2 linked regions of the Arabidopsis thaliana genome follow. The protein of the gene in region 1 purifies or fractionates together with the protein of each later gene. This does not show direct contact. Each region holds a gene or a part of one and is shown in the gene's direction. Other genes may lie near its edges.

Region 1 (8,393 bases):
CATTATGATAACACAAAAACGGAATACATAAAAAATGATATAGTCAAGTAAAATTACAAAATCAGTGACTACAAAATTTGATTCGTATAGTTAAAAAATCACAATCTAATCAAAGTTATATATTGGACGCTAGATAACATTTAGCCACAAAAGGTTAATCCACAAATTATAAATTTTAGTATAAGTCATGAGATGTACACACACATGGCTCTGAATGACGAGTTGCTGACACAACATAAGAACAATGAAAGGGTCCGTGGATTCGATTCAGAATCGAGTCAAATAATAGTCTCACTCTTATGTATTTGCAGCGACATGCTTTGCGTCTAAATTAATTTAAGAATCACTTTTTTTTCTTCTTCTCATCATTATTTAAAGAAAATCATTGACTCATACGTCTAAGTACCAAGATGAATAATCGTAACTTTTATAAGAATGTTACACTTATCTGCTTTAACTAAAAAAAGTTACACTTGATCTTAGCCAAAAACAAAATAAAAGTGAAAACCGACAAAAAAGAATGATGAAGAAGTAAAAAAAAGAGGATAAAAAGAGAGTTAAAAATGAATAAAAAGAGTAAATACAAATCAAAAAGCAATTAGTCGCGAATTAAGGAAAGAAATATAAGAATGAGACGAATCCAAATCTGCGTCTCATTTGTTTTCTTCCTCTTTCTTCTCAGTCTCTGCGTTTCTTTCTCGGGGAAAAATAATATCTGAGAAGAAGATTCGAGAGAGAGAGATCTGAACGGTTTTTCGCTTAGTCTCCAATGGGAACGCTACAGTCATGGCGAAGAGCTTACGGAGCCTTAAAAGACACCACCAAAGTCGGCCTTGTCCGAGTCAATAGCGATTACGCCGTACGCTCCTTTCGATTTCGATTTGCTTTGATTTTTTCAGCATTTCGATCGAATAGTTTTATATATCTTAGACCACCGAAGGTGAATCACTCATAGATTCGAGTTTTGATCTTCTAATTTACAGGAATTAGATGTTGCCATAGTGAAGGCTACTAACCATGTCGAGTGTCCTCCCAAAGATCGTCATCTCAGGAGTAAGTGATTGCTTCTCACTTGTTTTTTTGCAGAGTTTTTAGATTTGTATTTGTTTATTGTTTTTCTAAATATCTTATTCTCTGTGAATTGTTACAGAAATTTTCCTCGCAACGTCAGCGATTAGGCCTCGAGCAGATGTTGCTTACTGCATTCATGCTCTCTCCCGACGATTACACAAAACCAGAAATTGGACGGTAATTGATTTGCTCTTTCTCGGATTATGATCTGAATCTTTTAGGGAAGATAGTGATTATAGTAATTTGCAGCGTTTAGTATGATTAGATGTGTTCACTTTCATCCTCTGTATGTTTTAGGGTGTGAAATTCTGAGGATCGATTCAGTCATTGTTTCAAATTGGTGTAGATAGCTTTGGTTAGGTTTCTCATTCTTTCTGTTGGCTATTTTATTGTGTGTTTTGCTTCAACAGGTTGCATTAAAAGCACTGCTAGTTATACACCGGCTTCTGAGGGATGGTGATCCGACATTTAGAGAGGAGCTATTGAATTTTTCGCAAAAAGGACGCATTATGCAAATTTCTAATTTCAAGGATGACTCTAGCCCAGTCGGTGAGTCCTTACTGCTACATTCACGGGTCTATGTGTTTTTAGAAGCAAATGAGGTTCATTCAAGGTTTCTGCATAGAGTTATTGTTGATATGGTATTTGCTTTATGCTTGCTTACAGCATGGGATTGTTCAGGGTGGGTACGCACTTATGCGTTGTTTCTTGAGGAACGGCTTGAATGCTTCAGGGTTCTGAAATATGACATCGAGGCTGAACGTCTTCCAAAAGTTTCCCCAGGGCAGGAGAAGGTATCAAATTTGCGTTTTACTTGGTTTTCTGGCCTTATATTATCTCCTTTCCTTCCTGAGGGTATTCGATTTTGGAAATGAACAGGGGTATAGCAAAACAAGGGATTTAGATGGTGAAAAACTCTTGGAACAGTTGCCAGCTTTACAACAGCTTCTGCATCGTCTCATTGGTTGTAAGGTGCTTCTTTGATGTCATTTCCCGAGTCGTGCACTATGTTTTGTAAATCCCGTATTATTTTCTATTAAGTTGGAGAAGCTTTTCCTGACGTATGAACTGACTTTGCTCTTTCGACTTTTTCAGCCAGAAGGTGCTGCTAAGCACAATCATATCATTCAATATGCACTCTCCCTGGTACATTAAACTAAACTCGGGGGCATAATTTACATATATCCGCTAGTTCTTAGTGTTGTGTCAAATATATACTATCTGGAAAGAACAGCTTGATTTAAGCTCTGAGATCTTATTGTAAATTGTGTATGCAGGTATTGAAGGAGAGTTTTAAAGTGTATTGTGCCATCAATGAAGGAATTATCAATCTAGTAGAGAAGGTAGGCCAGTTTTTTCTTTTCCCCCAGAGTTACTCTCTCCCTTCATGTGTTTTTTGATTTCTTACTGTTTTATACATGCATATATTGCAGTTCTTTGAAATGCCAAGACATGAGGCCATCAAGGCCCTTGAAATATACAAGCGTGCGGGTTTGCAGGTAATGTTGTTGGGTTATTTTCTCTGTTAGATCAATTTAGATTTCACTTAACAAGGGTTAGTTTATCAATGCAGGCTGGCAACCTTTCTGCCTTCTATGAAGTATGCAAAGGATTAGAACTTGCAAGGAATTTCCAGTTTCCTGTTTTAAGAGAGGTATCAGATAATAACTTGTTTGTTACATTTAAATTTGTGATGGCAGGTACTTTATCAATACTAAATAAGTCTATTTTTGTTTTTTTCAAGCCTCCACAATCTTTTCTTACAACAATGGAGGAATATATGAGAGACGCACCTCAGATGGTCGACGTCACATCTGGGCCACTGGTACATATATACTCTCATTGTGGTCCTACTCCTACAGAAACCATGATTTTTCTTTTATAACTTATTTCTAAAAACTTTGTCAACATACAGCTTCTGACCTATACGCCTGATGATGGTCTTACTTCTGAAGATGTTGGACCTTCACATGAAGAACATGAAACATCATCGCCTTCAGATAGTGCCGTTGTTCCCTCTGAAGAAACGCAACTTTCTTCCCAGTCTCCTCCTTCAGTAGAAACTCCACAGAACTTCATTGATACTGATGATCTATTGGTAAATTATGCTTATTACATATGGTCTTGATTTCTTTATTCTGTCATTGTTATCCTTTTGTCTCTGATTCTCTCAGTATTACACACAGGGTCTGCATGATGATACACCTGATCCGTTAGCAATCCTGGACCAAAATGCACTAGCTTTGGCCTTAGTTTCCAATGATGGTGAGCTTCTTGGTCTATGTACTGGAGCTCTAAGTTTGCCTTTCTTGCTTGTCTTTAGTCGCAATTCTGGTTATGTTTCTGTTTCCAGTTGATTCTTCGCCGTTTAGTTTTGGGCAAGCAAGAGATTTGGATCCGTCAGGATGGGAGCTTGCGTTGGTCACAACACCTAGCAATGATATATCTGCAGCCACAGAGAGACAGCTGGTAAGATGTATTCTTGTATTAGTGATAATGGGATGCATCAATTACGTACCATTGTCCTGTTAACGTATGTCACCTCTGGGGAATTGATTTTGTGGCTTCTGAATCATTAACATTTTTTTCTGCAACAAATGCAAGGCGGGTGGATTAGACACGCTCACCCTGAACAGTCTATATGACGATGGAGCCTTGAGAGCAGCCCAACAGCCTGCCTATGGCGTCCCAGCTTCCAATCCGTTTGAGGTCCAAGACCTGTTTGCATTTTCAGACAGTGTTTCACCGCCTTCAGCCGTAAACAACCCATTCGGTCTCTATGAGCCAACCTATCATCAACAAGAGCAGCAGCCACAGCTACAGGTTGCACCCAGCCCTGCAAATCCTTTTGGTGATTTTGGGGAGTTTCCAATAGTTCCGGTTTCAGAACCACAAAGCACCACCAGTTTTGGGGCATTTCCAGTACCGGTTTCAGAGCCGTCAAACACCACCGGCTTTGGGGAGATTCCAGTAGTCCCGGTTACAGAACCGCCAAACACCACCGCGTTTGGGGAATTTCCAGTGGTGCCGGTTTCAGAACCACAAAACATCACTGGGTTTGGGGCATTACCAGTAACCCCGGCTTCAGAACCATCAAACACCACCGGTTTTGGGGAATTTCCAGTAGTGTCGGTTTCAGCACCACAAAACACCACTGGGTTTGGGGCATTACCAGTAATCCCGGTATCAGAACCGTCAAAGACCACCGGTTTGGGGGAATTTCCAGTAGTCCCGGTTTCAGAACCGCAAAACACCACGGGTTTTGGGGAGTTCCCGGTAAACGCAGGTGCTCATGAGCAACATAACAGCAACAACCCCTTCGGCAGCACGGGCTTCTTGTGATCCCATCTTCGTATATTTCTCAAAATGCTTTATTTGTCTCATATGATTCTATTGTTTGTGAGTAGTAATAAAATCACATCATCTTCTAGTCTTGCAAATCTTGTTCTGCTAATAGAGAAAGACTCCTCGGGATTGATTATATAAATGAATTTTCATTGGTGGAAAAAAAATGAAAGATATATATAACTCATTGTGTTACATTAACAAAATAATTTGAAATATGATTAGCAAAAACGCTACGTAGTATGTCGTTTTCTGTTCTAGTAATCCAGCTAGGCTGAACCAATGGCCATTCGTTGAATAAAAAAGGAAGATTGGAGGAGAATTAGGTAATTTAAGGGTAATAGTCAGCAGAAGTCATTCCCATATGTCCACGTCAGTAATCCTGCTCGAGAAAGCTGCTATAAACTCAGAGCCGTTGGATCAACCCGTAAGTTTGAAAACCCCAACCGTCAGATCAACACTACAAGTTAATATGAGAATAATGAGAAAACCACTTTCCCAAATTGCTTTTTAAAATCCCTCCTCACACAGATTCCTTCCTTCATCACCTCACACACTCTCTACGCTTGACATGGCCTTCGATCTCCACCATGGCTCAGCTTCAGATACGCATTCATCAGAACTTCCGTCGTTTTCTCTCCCACCTTATCCTCAGGTGAAGTACACCCCTAAAATCTCTCAATCTCTCTCAATTTAGTTTCTGAAATTTTGGTTGAAATTTGTGTTTAGATGATAATGGAAGCGATTGAGTCCTTGAACGATAAGAACGGCTGCAACAAAACGACGATTGCTAAGCACATCGAGTCGACTCAACAAACTCTACCGCCGTCACACATGACGCTGCTCAGCTACCATCTCAACCAGATGAAGAAAACCGGTCAGCTAATCATGGTGAAGAACAATTATATGAAACCAGATCCAGATGCTCCTCCTAAGCGTGGTCGTGGCCGTCCTCCGAAGCAGAAGACTCAGGCCGAATCTGACGCCGCTGCTGCTGCTGTTGTTGCTGCCACCGTCGTCTCTACAGATCCGCCTAGATCTCGTGGCCGTCCACCGAAGCCGAAAGATCCATCGGAGCCTCCCCAGGAGAAGGTCATTACCGGATCTGGAAGGCCACGAGGACGACCACCGAAGAGACCGAGAACAGATTCGGAGACGGTTGCTGCGCCGGAACCGGCAGCTCAGGCGACAGGTGAGCGTAGGGGACGTGGGAGACCTCCGAAGGTGAAGCCGACGGTGGTTGCTCCGGTTGGGTGCTGAATTAATCGGTACTTATGCAATTTCGGAATCTTTAGTTACTGAAAAATGGAATCTCTTAGAGAGTAAGAGAGTGCTTTAATTTAGCTTAATTAGATTTATTTGGATTTCTTTCAGTATTTGGATTGTAAACTTTAGAATTTGTGTGTGTGTTGTTGCTTAGTCCTGAGATAAGATATAACATTAGCGACTGTGTATTATTATTATTACTGCATTGTGTTATGTGAAACTTTGTTCTCTTGTTGAACAATTATTGCTGCTTTGATTTCATTTTCACACTTAATAATGAGGGGAAAACTATGTAATTGGTAATGCTAAACATTCATTATTGTCACTAATTTAATTATGCTACAGTTAGCAGAAGAAAGAATCACTGTGGAATCAGCGCGGGAGTTGAAAATTTCAAAGGGAATTCAATTAGAAAAATCTGTGAAGCGAATGTGTGTAATCATTATCAATAGGGATTGAAATAGAAACTGTGAACAGAGTATGGAAGCTTTTTGGCATCCCCGTGAACAAAAAGGACAAAACCTTGTTTTCGTAAAGATTTTAGAGTGGGCCACTAATAGACAAACTTTGGGGTCATAGTCAGATGTTCTAATCATCTCACGGGTTTCAGTTCCCCTTAGACATGATGGCCAAAATTCATCCATATCATATCCAAATTCATCAAAGAAAAAAAAAAAAAAAAAAAAACCAGGTTCATGTATCAAATTTACTCATCAAAACCATGTATAATTATCTTCATTACTCATATAGCACACACCATATAAACACATATGACATATATTAATATTAATACAATCAAACATAGATTAATGTATAATTTGAACACCCAAACTCAGAGTTCTAACTCGGTTTCAAAGCCTCGAATACACATTATAAACTAAGCACACAACTTAACACATATATATATACAAGTGTTTTTATAACTTTAGGAATTTCAAGACCTAGCTTAGTTAGTTAGGCTCCATTGTTGGCGTAGGTATTAACGAGAGCGAGCGCATTACTCGTGAACCTCTTGACGTCGGCGACTCTATCGCAAATAGCCGTCTTCGTCTCTCCGTCTTCCATCTCCTCCGTGACCCCATCCGTACACGTCTCCTCGTCCGTCAACGCCGCGCTCATCCACGTCTGCACGTTACTCATCTGAAACCTAAACGCCGGATCTCCGGGACGACGGTGGTTCATCTCTCGGAGCTGCCTTAGGGAGCCACGCATCTGATCCACGGCATCTCCCACGTTCGAAACGCAGTCGTGGACAGCAGCTGAGGCAGCGCGACGTGAGAGTTTGGAGAGGTAAGCCGCCGTGTATTTTGCGCGGGAGAGAGAAACGCCGATTGCGAGTTTAGCTAGCCTTGCCGGATTATCTTGGACGGCGGAGGCGTATCCAGCTAGAGACGTGTAACATACGTCTGGATACAGCGTTGTGTTGCAGCTCGTACGGATGAAATCTAGATCATCGGTTGTTGGTTGTTCCGGAGGGAAACGGACGGCTGAGATTGTCCGGCAAATGAAGAGTAGGGTGACTAAGTAGAGAACCGTCGTCGTATAAAGCTGCCTCCCCATTTTAAGCTTTAAGTTTTTTACTCTGTTTATTTCTTCTTTGTTTCGAGTTAACATGTGAGATTGGAGGGTTTATGTAGACATTGAGTAATGGAGAAATGTGACATGTTTGCCCATTCATGCTCATTATAATCACATTATGGCCACTAATCATTTTGTCGGGTGTATTTTATCCATAGTTGGTGTGAAAAGGAAGGCTTGGTAGATTCACTATCTTAGCCGTACCTTAAAAGGAACTGCATTCTTTATGGTTATCTATCCCATATATATTTAAATTTTATAAGAAAATATGTTCATAACATATCAACGGTTAAAAAAATATCCATAACACTTCATTTTTATAACTATATTTTGTATGCACTTTTGTTTATAAATGTCGAGTATGAACACAAATGTTGAACTAGGTATGGGTCGCAAGTGAGATTTTGGGTGGACATTACTCCTCAGTTGCAATATCGACCACGAAAGGATCGTACGGTGAATACTATGATGGGACTCACCAAGTTATGGATGGAGTATGTGGAGATTCGCCTACAATCAATAATTCTGCTAAATAAAAGTAAATTATCCGAGAAGAAAATATCTGCACGCGTGATTATTAACATTGTACTAATAGTTTTCTCAAAATGCTCCAACTCATTGAATAACAATGTCTTTTTTTTCCTCTTTCTAAATAGACACCTTTTTTAGATTTTACTCATTTTTAGTGTTGAATCTGTTATATCAAGATTCAAGAGACAAATATATGACTCGAATTGTTTGAATTTTTGAACTTACTTTGTAGAACTAGGAACCCTAGAGAGTATCAATATAATTTGGAATTTTATTAGAAAAATTGTAGCGTTCTGATCTAATGCTATATATGAAAGAGAAGAAAATGATGACATGATCGTTTTAGTAAACGATCCACACCATGCTTCTTAAGAAGAAAAGTCCACTTAAAATGCCACTTTTAGAAAAAAATGAGTGTGTACTATATAGTTTATAGACTATAGTGGGGAGGTAGCCGACTAAATATATTATTATTTATTACATACATAGGATTTGATTAGTAACGTTTAAACCATTCTCATTCATGTTATGTGTTAACATATATTATATGCTTGGTTAGTAATAAAAATCAATATTAGTAATATTCATATATGATTACCAAA
Region 2 (8,440 bases), on another chromosome or scaffold:
CGGCTTAAAACAGTCTTTAGACAGAGACATGGGGTTCGAAGTAACCAATTCTTTAGACAAAAGATTGGATTGGGTTATGTTTGGTGGAAGGAAGATGGTACCCACGGCTTCTAACTTAGTCTTTAGACTGAGACTTGAGACTGAACATTGATCCTTCTTGGTACTCTCGGCTTGAAAATATCTAGATATATGGATTATGTTCGGTTTCTTGTCTCAGTTTTTAGACAAAAATCAAGTTACCCATGGCTTAAAAAAGTCTTTACACAGAGACTTGAGGTTCAATATAACCAATTCTTTAGACAAAAGATTGGATTGGGTTATGTTTGGTGGAAGGTAAATGGTACCCACGGCTTCAAATTTTAGTCTCTAGATTGAGACTTGAGACAGAACATTGATCCTGCTTGGTACCCTCGGCTTGAAAATATCTAGACATATGGATCATGTTCGGTTTCTTGTTTCACTTTTTAGACAATGATCAAGTTACTCACGGCTTAAAACAGTCTTTAGACAGAGACATGGGGTTCGAAGTAACCAATTCTTTAGACAAAAGATTGGATTGGGTTATGTTTGGTGGAAGGAAGATGGTACCCACGGCTTCTAACTTAGTCTTTAGACTGAGACTTGAGACTGAACATTGATCCTTCTAGGTACCCTCGGCTTGAAAATATCTAGACATATGGATCATGTTTGGTTTCTTGTGTCAGTTTTTAGACAAAAATCAAGTTACCCACGGCTTAAAAAAGTCTTTACACAGAGACTTGAGGTTCAATATAACCAATTCTTTAGACAAAAGATTGGATTGGGTTATGTTTGGTGGATGGTAAATGGTACCCACGGCTTCAAACTTTAGTCTTTAGATTGAGACTTGAGACTGAACATTGATCCTTCTTGGTACCCTCGGCTTGAAAATATCTAGACATATGGATCATGTTCGGTTTCTTGTTTCACTTTTTAGACAATGATCAAGTTACTCACGGCTTAAAACAGTCTTTAGACAGAGACATGGGGTTCGAAGTAACCAATCCTTTAAACAAAAAATTGGATTGGGTTATGTTTGGTGGAAAGAAGATGGTACCCACGGCTTCCAACTTAGTCTTTAGACTGAGACTAGAGACTGAACATTGATCCTTCTTGGTACCCTCGGCTTGAAAATATCTAGACATATGGATCATGTTCGGTTTCTTGTGTCAGTTTTTAGACAAAAATCATATTACCCACGGCTTAAAAAAGTCTTTACACAGAGACTTGAGGTTCAAAATAACCAATTCTTTAGACAAAAGATTGGATTGGCTTATGTTTGGTGGAAGGAAGATGGTACCCACGGCTTCAAACTTTGGTATTAAGATTAAGACTTGAGAGTGAACATTGATCCTTCTTGTTAGCCACGACTTTAAAATCTCTAGACATATGGATCATGTTCGGTTTCTTGTTTCAGTCTTTAGACAAAGATCAAGTTACCCACGGCTTAAGAAAGTCTTAAGACAGAGACTTGAGGTTCGAAGTAACCAATCCTTTAGACAAAAGATTGGATTGGGTTATGTTTGGTGCACGGAAAATGGTACCCACGGCTTCAAACTTAGTCTGAGACTTGAGATTCGACATTGATCCTTCTTGGTACACACGGCTTGAAAATCACTAGACAAATGGATCATGTTCAGTTTCTTGTTTCAATCTTTAGATAAAGAAACACTCACGGCTTAAAACATTATAAGTCATTAGACAGAGACTTATAATTTTAAACAATGGAAATTTGGATAATAAACTTACAAGACGATGTTAAACTAACCGGATTTTGGATCCCATCATTGATCGTTAGCGATTCCAAAAATTCAGCTTGTCTTCCCATCGTTAAGTAGATTTATAATACAAGTTTCTGTTGATCCTTCTTGGTACCCTCGACTTGAAACTCACTACACATATGGATCATGTTCGGTGTCTTGTTTCAATCTTTAGACAAAAGAATACCCACGGCTTAAAACATTATGTCTTTAGACAGAGACTCGAGGTTCGAAAGTAACCAATCTTTTGTCAAAAAGATTGGATTTGGTTATGTTTGGTGCAAGGAAAATGGTACCCACGGCTTTAAACTTTAGTCTTTCGAGTGAACTGAAACTTGAGATTCCAACATTGATTCTTTTGGTACCCACGGCTTGAATATCTTTAGACATATGGATCATGTTCGGTCTCTTGTGTCAGTCTTTAGACAAAGATCAAGTTACCCACGGCTTAAAATAGTCAGAGACTTGAGGTTCGAAGTAACCAATCCTTTAGACAAAAGATTGGATTGGATTGGCTTATGTTTTGGTTGATGAAAAATGGTACCCACGACTTCAAACTTTAGATTGAGACTTGAGATTAGAACATTGATCCTTCTTTGGTACCCACAGTTCAAAAATCTCTAGACATATGGATCATGTTCGGTTTCTTGTTTCAGTGTTTAGACAGAGTTGGATAATAATGGACGATGTTGGGTTATGTTTGGATAATAAATTTACAAGACCAGATTTTAAACAATGGAAATTTGGATAATAAATTTACAAGACGATGTTGAATAACCGGTTTTGGATCCCGTCATTGATAGTTAGCGATTCCACAAATTCAACTTGTTTTTACATCGTTATGTAGATTTAGAATACAAGTTTGTGTTGAAAAAAAATATATACAAGTTTCTTATTTTTTTAGAAAAGATTCCCAAATTTTTCCATACGTTTAGCATGCTACCAACCTTGTAAGAGGGTTCGTCGTTGTGTGAGATTAGTGTAATTTGTTATGGGATCAGGATCAACCAATCAAGATTTCACCAACTTGCTAATATGTGAAAGACAGACAAATAGAGTAACAGTGAAGACTGAAGATGATGGTTGTGATGTGATGAACAAGTTCTAAAATATTTAGGTCCAAAAGATCTTCCCATGGAGCTTGGTTGTGAAAGTGCTAACTGAGATTTCTCCAACATGCACACATTGTTGCAAAAGCTTCCCCCTGCATTTTATTATACAAACAAACAAACAAAAATGTCACCATAATGGATGAATGTTTGTTCACCATGAGTATGCGACTTATTAACATATTACATTTTAGCATTACTACATCCAAATACTTCAACTATCATCATATATTGGAAATTTGGATTGATGGCTTGAGTCATAAAAACCTACAAAAGGATTGGACGATACTTTTAGTAAAATCTCTTAAAATTGTCCGCAGTGACCAAAATGCTAAAAAGCTAGAAGGATATACAGACTTTTATCTTACTTTATGTATCAGAAAATCAATATTTCTTAATAAATATGATAAAGTGTTTCAGTTTATTTTGAGTTTAGAAAAAGCCAAATGAATTGGAATCAAAATAATGTAGGTAAAAAAGAGAAGTGGAATTAAAATAAAATCATTCTATCCAATCAAAACGGTAAGTAGTTGTGCGTTTTAGAGGCAAAACACCACAGCGTTTCGAAGCACGTGGATGTGTCGTGTGATACAGCAGTAGCGCACTATTGGGCATTGAGAATACATAATCATAACCCCTGCAATCTAACGGTCAACCTTTTAATAACCCTTGTAGGTTAAATCTCTACCGTTTATTCGAATTACTTTTCCAAGGTAAGAAAAAAGCAAACACAAAAGGGAATATCAAACAACAAAAAAGTAAGAAAGAGCGGTAAGACAGAGACGGAGAAGAAGGAGAAGAAGATTGTTAAGACGAAACCCTGTTGCTGTCCGTACAATGCCGCCGAAGAAGAGTAAGGCAGATGGAGAAGAAAAGGCGAAACCTTTAACGACGTTGGCGTCGTCTAGAGTGACTCGGAGCATGGACAGTCGAACTCGAAGTCAGACTCAACAAAACGGTGCTAAAGCGGCTGGATCCGCCACTAAGCCGGCGACGAAGAAGGCTAAGAGGAAGAATTCAGCGATTGAGACTGGGAGAGCCAAGAAGGGAAAGAAGGAAGAGGAAGTTGAAGAGCCAGAGGAAGCCGTTGAGGAGGAGGTTGAGAAGGAAGAGCCAGAGGTTGAGGACCCTACGAGAACCAAGATTGTTATAGAACACTGGTAATTTTTGCGTAAATGTTTTCGATTTCTTTAGAGATAATGTTTGGAATCATAAGAGCAAAAATTTAGGTTTTTTTCTTTGAAATTGAATCTAAAAGCCTACAACTTTGGGGTATGTGTTGAGACTTGTGTGTCCGTGTGTAGCAGCTAAGGTTTATTTGCTAGGGTGGAACAATGTGTTAGGTTTTCATCTTGATTCTGCATAAGTTTTTGGTTTGAGTGATTAGTGGTTTATGTTTTGCTCGCATTTGTGAAGAGGACTTGACTATCTGCTTTCTGTTTGTGTTCTTGTCTTGCTTTAGCTGAATTGCAATGCGTAATGGACGTGTTCATTCTATAAATGGAATTTGCTTCTATACTTATGTCTCACAAGAGTTCTTTTTTGTTTTGTTTTGTGATGTTATTGAAGTAAACAATGCAATGCTTTCAAGACAAGAGCTATTCAGGTGAAGGAAGCTTTGGAGGGAGCTGTTCCTGGCGTCACGGTGTCTCTTAATCCTGAAAAGGTAATGCTTTTACTGCAGATGAATATATCGTCATGAATGCTCCGTTTTGACTAATGCGTTAGAGCATACTTTTCACATTATACTTGATAAGATTTTCTTCTAAATTACTAATTCTTTCTTTTGATGTGCTTGAACAGCCAAGGCGGGGTTGCTTTGAGATCCGGGAGGAAGGTGGCCAAACATTCATCAGTCTTTTGGTAAAAACTTTCATTCTAATAAAAACAAATCTCAATTTGTCTCGCTTCTGCATATGATTTGTTCAGTTTGAGTAAGGTTTATTGTTATTACTAATTCTCATAACACCACTTGCTCTATATGCATATGAGAATGAAAATCAACTTGATCCTTATTCATTACGAGAAATGTGTTATTGTGAGTAGAAATCATGAATATGTTTTTGCCTTTCAATCTTAACATAGACCTAAAGATGTAGATTATGTTTATCTCATTTTGTAGGAGATGAAACGTCCATTTGCACCAATGAAGGCACTTGATATGGAAGAAGTCATCGAGGACATCATAAAGAAAGTCAAATGAATCTGTTCTTTGTTTCTGCCTCGGTCTCAGTTTAATCAATTAGGTTTCTGCAGAAGACTTTCTAGAGTAATGTCAGATTTGTTAGGTTCACTTTTATTGTTTCGGTATGAGCACTGTAAGTGCAGTCTCGTCGTTTGGCAATGCATGATTAGTTGATAGAGAAGGATCTCTGTAGTTTTTGGGGTTAACTCGTATTTGTAAGGCTAGTTTATTATTCATCTCGTTGCTTGAAGCAAACCGATGCATAAGTGTTTTTTGTTGTTGGGACCATGCATGGTTCTAACAATCTATGCACTGGTTAAAGCATGTTCTAACACAATTAGAACTGTGTTACAAAATCAATAGGACAAACATCACATTTGCATTCAAAATGGCTGATAAATACAATGCATGATGAGTAGAAAGCTCATTACATTTAGGTTTCTTTCACTTCCAATGGCCGTGTCTCTCTTCTTGGCTAAAAGCTACAGAAAAATTGTTTTGAATCTCACCTACCATTATTGTCTTTAACCCACATCACCCGAATCTTAGAACCCAGCAAAGCTAGCCAAAAATGCTAACAAGAGAATAACATCAAAGCTCCAACCAGCCTTAGAAGCAGAAGAAGATGGTTTAGCCTTATCAGCAGCTTCAATCTTCTCATTATCGGCGCTTGGAGCAGGAGCTGGAGAATCAGCCTCTGGTGTGTCTGTTGCAGGTGCAGGTGGAGTTTTTGGGACAGCAGAATCTGGGGAATTGTCATCAGCAGCTGGTCCTGGAGCTGGAACCACTGAAGCATCCATGGGAGTTGGATATGGAGCTACATGAACGTATGGTGGTGGAGGTGGGAAAATTGCAAGGCTGAGTCCAGGAGCCACTATTGGCATGGTAATCTGGATGATAGAGAGGTTATATGGATTGTGGTACACCGTCGAGACATACTCAGCGTTTAAAGGAGAGTTCTTCACTTCCGATCCAAAGTAAACTCTTCCTTTTGATTTGGAAACGTTCAAGAAACCATTCATCTGTTCACCCAACCCGGTGGTTTGGTATAAGGTAGTAAGCATTATACTCTTCTCCCTCATCCCCTGAAGCTTAAGCTCATCGTAGTAGTCAAGAATAACATGAGTCATGAGGATGTTCCTGAGCTCAACTTCGGATCTGTTAGTGATGGAGCTGATAGCGTCATTGCTAACAGCAAGCACGGTTATCGTCTGGTATTTGTCGATGGCTGCAATGAGCTTGGTCTTGATGAAGAGGTCCCTCATGGTGCTGAATTTGGAGTATTTCTGAAAGGCCAGCGTGATGTTATTCGCCGTAACGACCTTAGAGAAGACGAGTAAGATGGTGAGGGAGAGGAGAGAAAGGGAGGCTTTGAGACCCATCTCGTGTCGTGTGTTCTCTTTGCTAAACCTCAAGGGCGAAGAGTGGGTTTAAAAGGAGAGATTTTCTCTGTTTTTGGTATTAAATCTGAATTAGTCTTTTGGTGAGCTAAGTCTACTCTGCTATTTTTAGAGTATAGTAAGACTTGGCCATTGAGAATTTAATTATTTGATGGCTAAATTGCGTTTTAACAAGTTTTTTTATGTTAATTGAAAAAGTTTTCTTCTGTGCGAAAGGAACTAAAATTATAATGATGGAACTTGCATGTTTATTAGATGAATTTATCATTGTAACAAAATTATAGTTGTTTTGTTTACAATCTGATGAAGTTTTAGTTAATGATTTCTAAAGTTGATGGAAAAGATAACCTAAAAGACTCTTAACATGAATAATTAAACACTAGTAATTTTTATTTTTGCTAAAAAAATTACTACTCATCTACTTATTAATATCATCAATTTTTTGTATGATAATTGGCACATCGATATTTAGTTTTTGGAAACCAGAGTAAATATAAATAAGAAATGATAAATTATGATTAGAAAAAGATAAGTATTCTGAGAAAGCTAAAATACTTTTGAATAAGAGTAACAAAGAAATTTAGAATTTAGAATAGAAACTGTCTATAGCCCCGTGAAAATGACAAGTAATAACTAAACGTCAATTGCATGCTATGTTCACATTATATTTCGTTTTCGAAAAATTTAATTAATGAATTACGTCAAAGAGGTTTTCACAGTTAATGCCGCATGTTCATTAATTTCTAAACTAAATATCATCATTTGATGGAAAAGCTAGCTTAACGACTTTGAGTGTGGATGGTAAAACATATATTTTTATTTTTTTTGCTACAACTTAAAAGCATCAATTTATTATGATATTTTGGACATCGATATTCATGTTTGTAAATAATTTGCCTCAGAACTATAGAGCAAAATATAAATTAGTTGGAGTTTGCAAATAATGATAAATGTTCTTAAAAAGGTAAATAAAATTAAAGAGTGAATCACAAAAAAAAAAAAAAAAAAAAAGTAGATGAACGTCAATTTGTATAATTTCAGTATATATCATATATAAACCATGTAAACGACGGATTACGTCAAAGAGATTGTCACAGTTGATATCGCATTTATAAGAAGCTTCTTAGGTATCAATTATCATCCAAAAAAGAATGTATAATCAATTATATTCTTACTATTATATTTCTATCTAACATTGTATAACACGTTTTCATTTGTCGATTATATGTTCGACTGGTCTTTTAAGCACTCATGACTCATATGTATATAATAATATGTAGAAACGAACGAATATTTAAGAGTTTCAGCTTTATACCAATTATTCGAATTGGCAACTCGGAGTTCATATTCTCTTTGTTAACCTACGAAATACGAATACAACAACTAATAATATTTTTTACACCGTTTTCATTTCTAATAATTAAGAAGTTCGGGCTCATTTGACCTTTATCTCTATTTTAAAACAACTAAATCGTAATATTATAGTCTTAAGATACTTTTTAGAACAAAGTGACGAAAATAATGTTCACACTAACGAGATTGAACCCAAAAAATGGCTACATGCCTACGTTAATTATGCTTTTGAATTATAAAACAGTACAAAACAAACACGAAAGTATACTTTATATATGAACTAATGAATAAAAAGGAAACAAGATCATGATCATATAGTGATTTGGAATCAAATTCGCTATATAATGTAATAAAAATATTTATATAATTACCAATACTAGTAATGTTAGGGGTCTAAAATTAGAACGAGATGTCATCTTCTTGACAGAATTATTCTAAAGTTGTAGAAGATAAGGGTGACCTGGCACCAATCGATCCTTCATTATATTGGCTACTCGAGCATATCTTTCGCAATAAGAATACCACTAAACGTATATATTCTTCCTATTCTTATACGTATTATTGTGTAAATTTTATTAACTTTCTGAAATGAAATAATATGCAAAGAAATACAAT

What was found.
Region 2: the proteins of HMGA (region 1) and AT4G31360 fractionate together in Arabidopsis thaliana (co-fractionation; one large-scale study listed by BioGRID). This does not show direct contact.

What each region holds. Positions count from the first base shown.
Region 1 is NC_003070.9:5,135,948-5,144,340, reverse strand, and holds HMGA (high mobility group A), read left to right. Parts: upstream 1-4,873; 5' UTR 4,874-4,987; coding exon 4,988-5,071; intron 5,072-5,145; coding exon 5,146-5,676; 3' UTR 5,677-6,225; downstream 6,226-8,393. Other genes in the region: AT1G14910 (ENTH/ANTH/VHS superfamily protein), read left to right, coding at 770-859, 984-1,053, 1,151-1,248, 1,482-1,620, 1,738-1,865, 1,951-2,043, 2,167-2,217, 2,349-2,414 and 7 more; AT1G14890 (Plant invertase/pectin methylesterase inhibitor superfamily protein), read right to left, coding at 6,637-7,296. UniProt on the Arabidopsis thaliana protein: Binds A/T-rich DNA with a highly dynamic distribution into the nucleus.
Region 2 is NC_003075.7:15,218,221-15,226,660, forward strand, and holds AT4G31360 (selenium binding protein), read left to right. Parts: upstream 1-3,622; 5' UTR 3,623-3,724; coding exon 3,725-4,047; intron 4,048-4,456; coding exon 4,457-4,553; intron 4,554-4,690; coding exon 4,691-4,750; intron 4,751-5,009; coding exon 5,010-5,090; 3' UTR 5,091-5,407; downstream 5,408-8,440. Other genes in the region: AT4G31354 (uncharacterized protein), read left to right, coding at 928-1,125; AT4G31355 (uncharacterized protein), read right to left, coding at 1,477-1,602; FLA5 (FASCICLIN-like arabinogalactan protein 5 precursor), read right to left, coding at 5,618-6,454.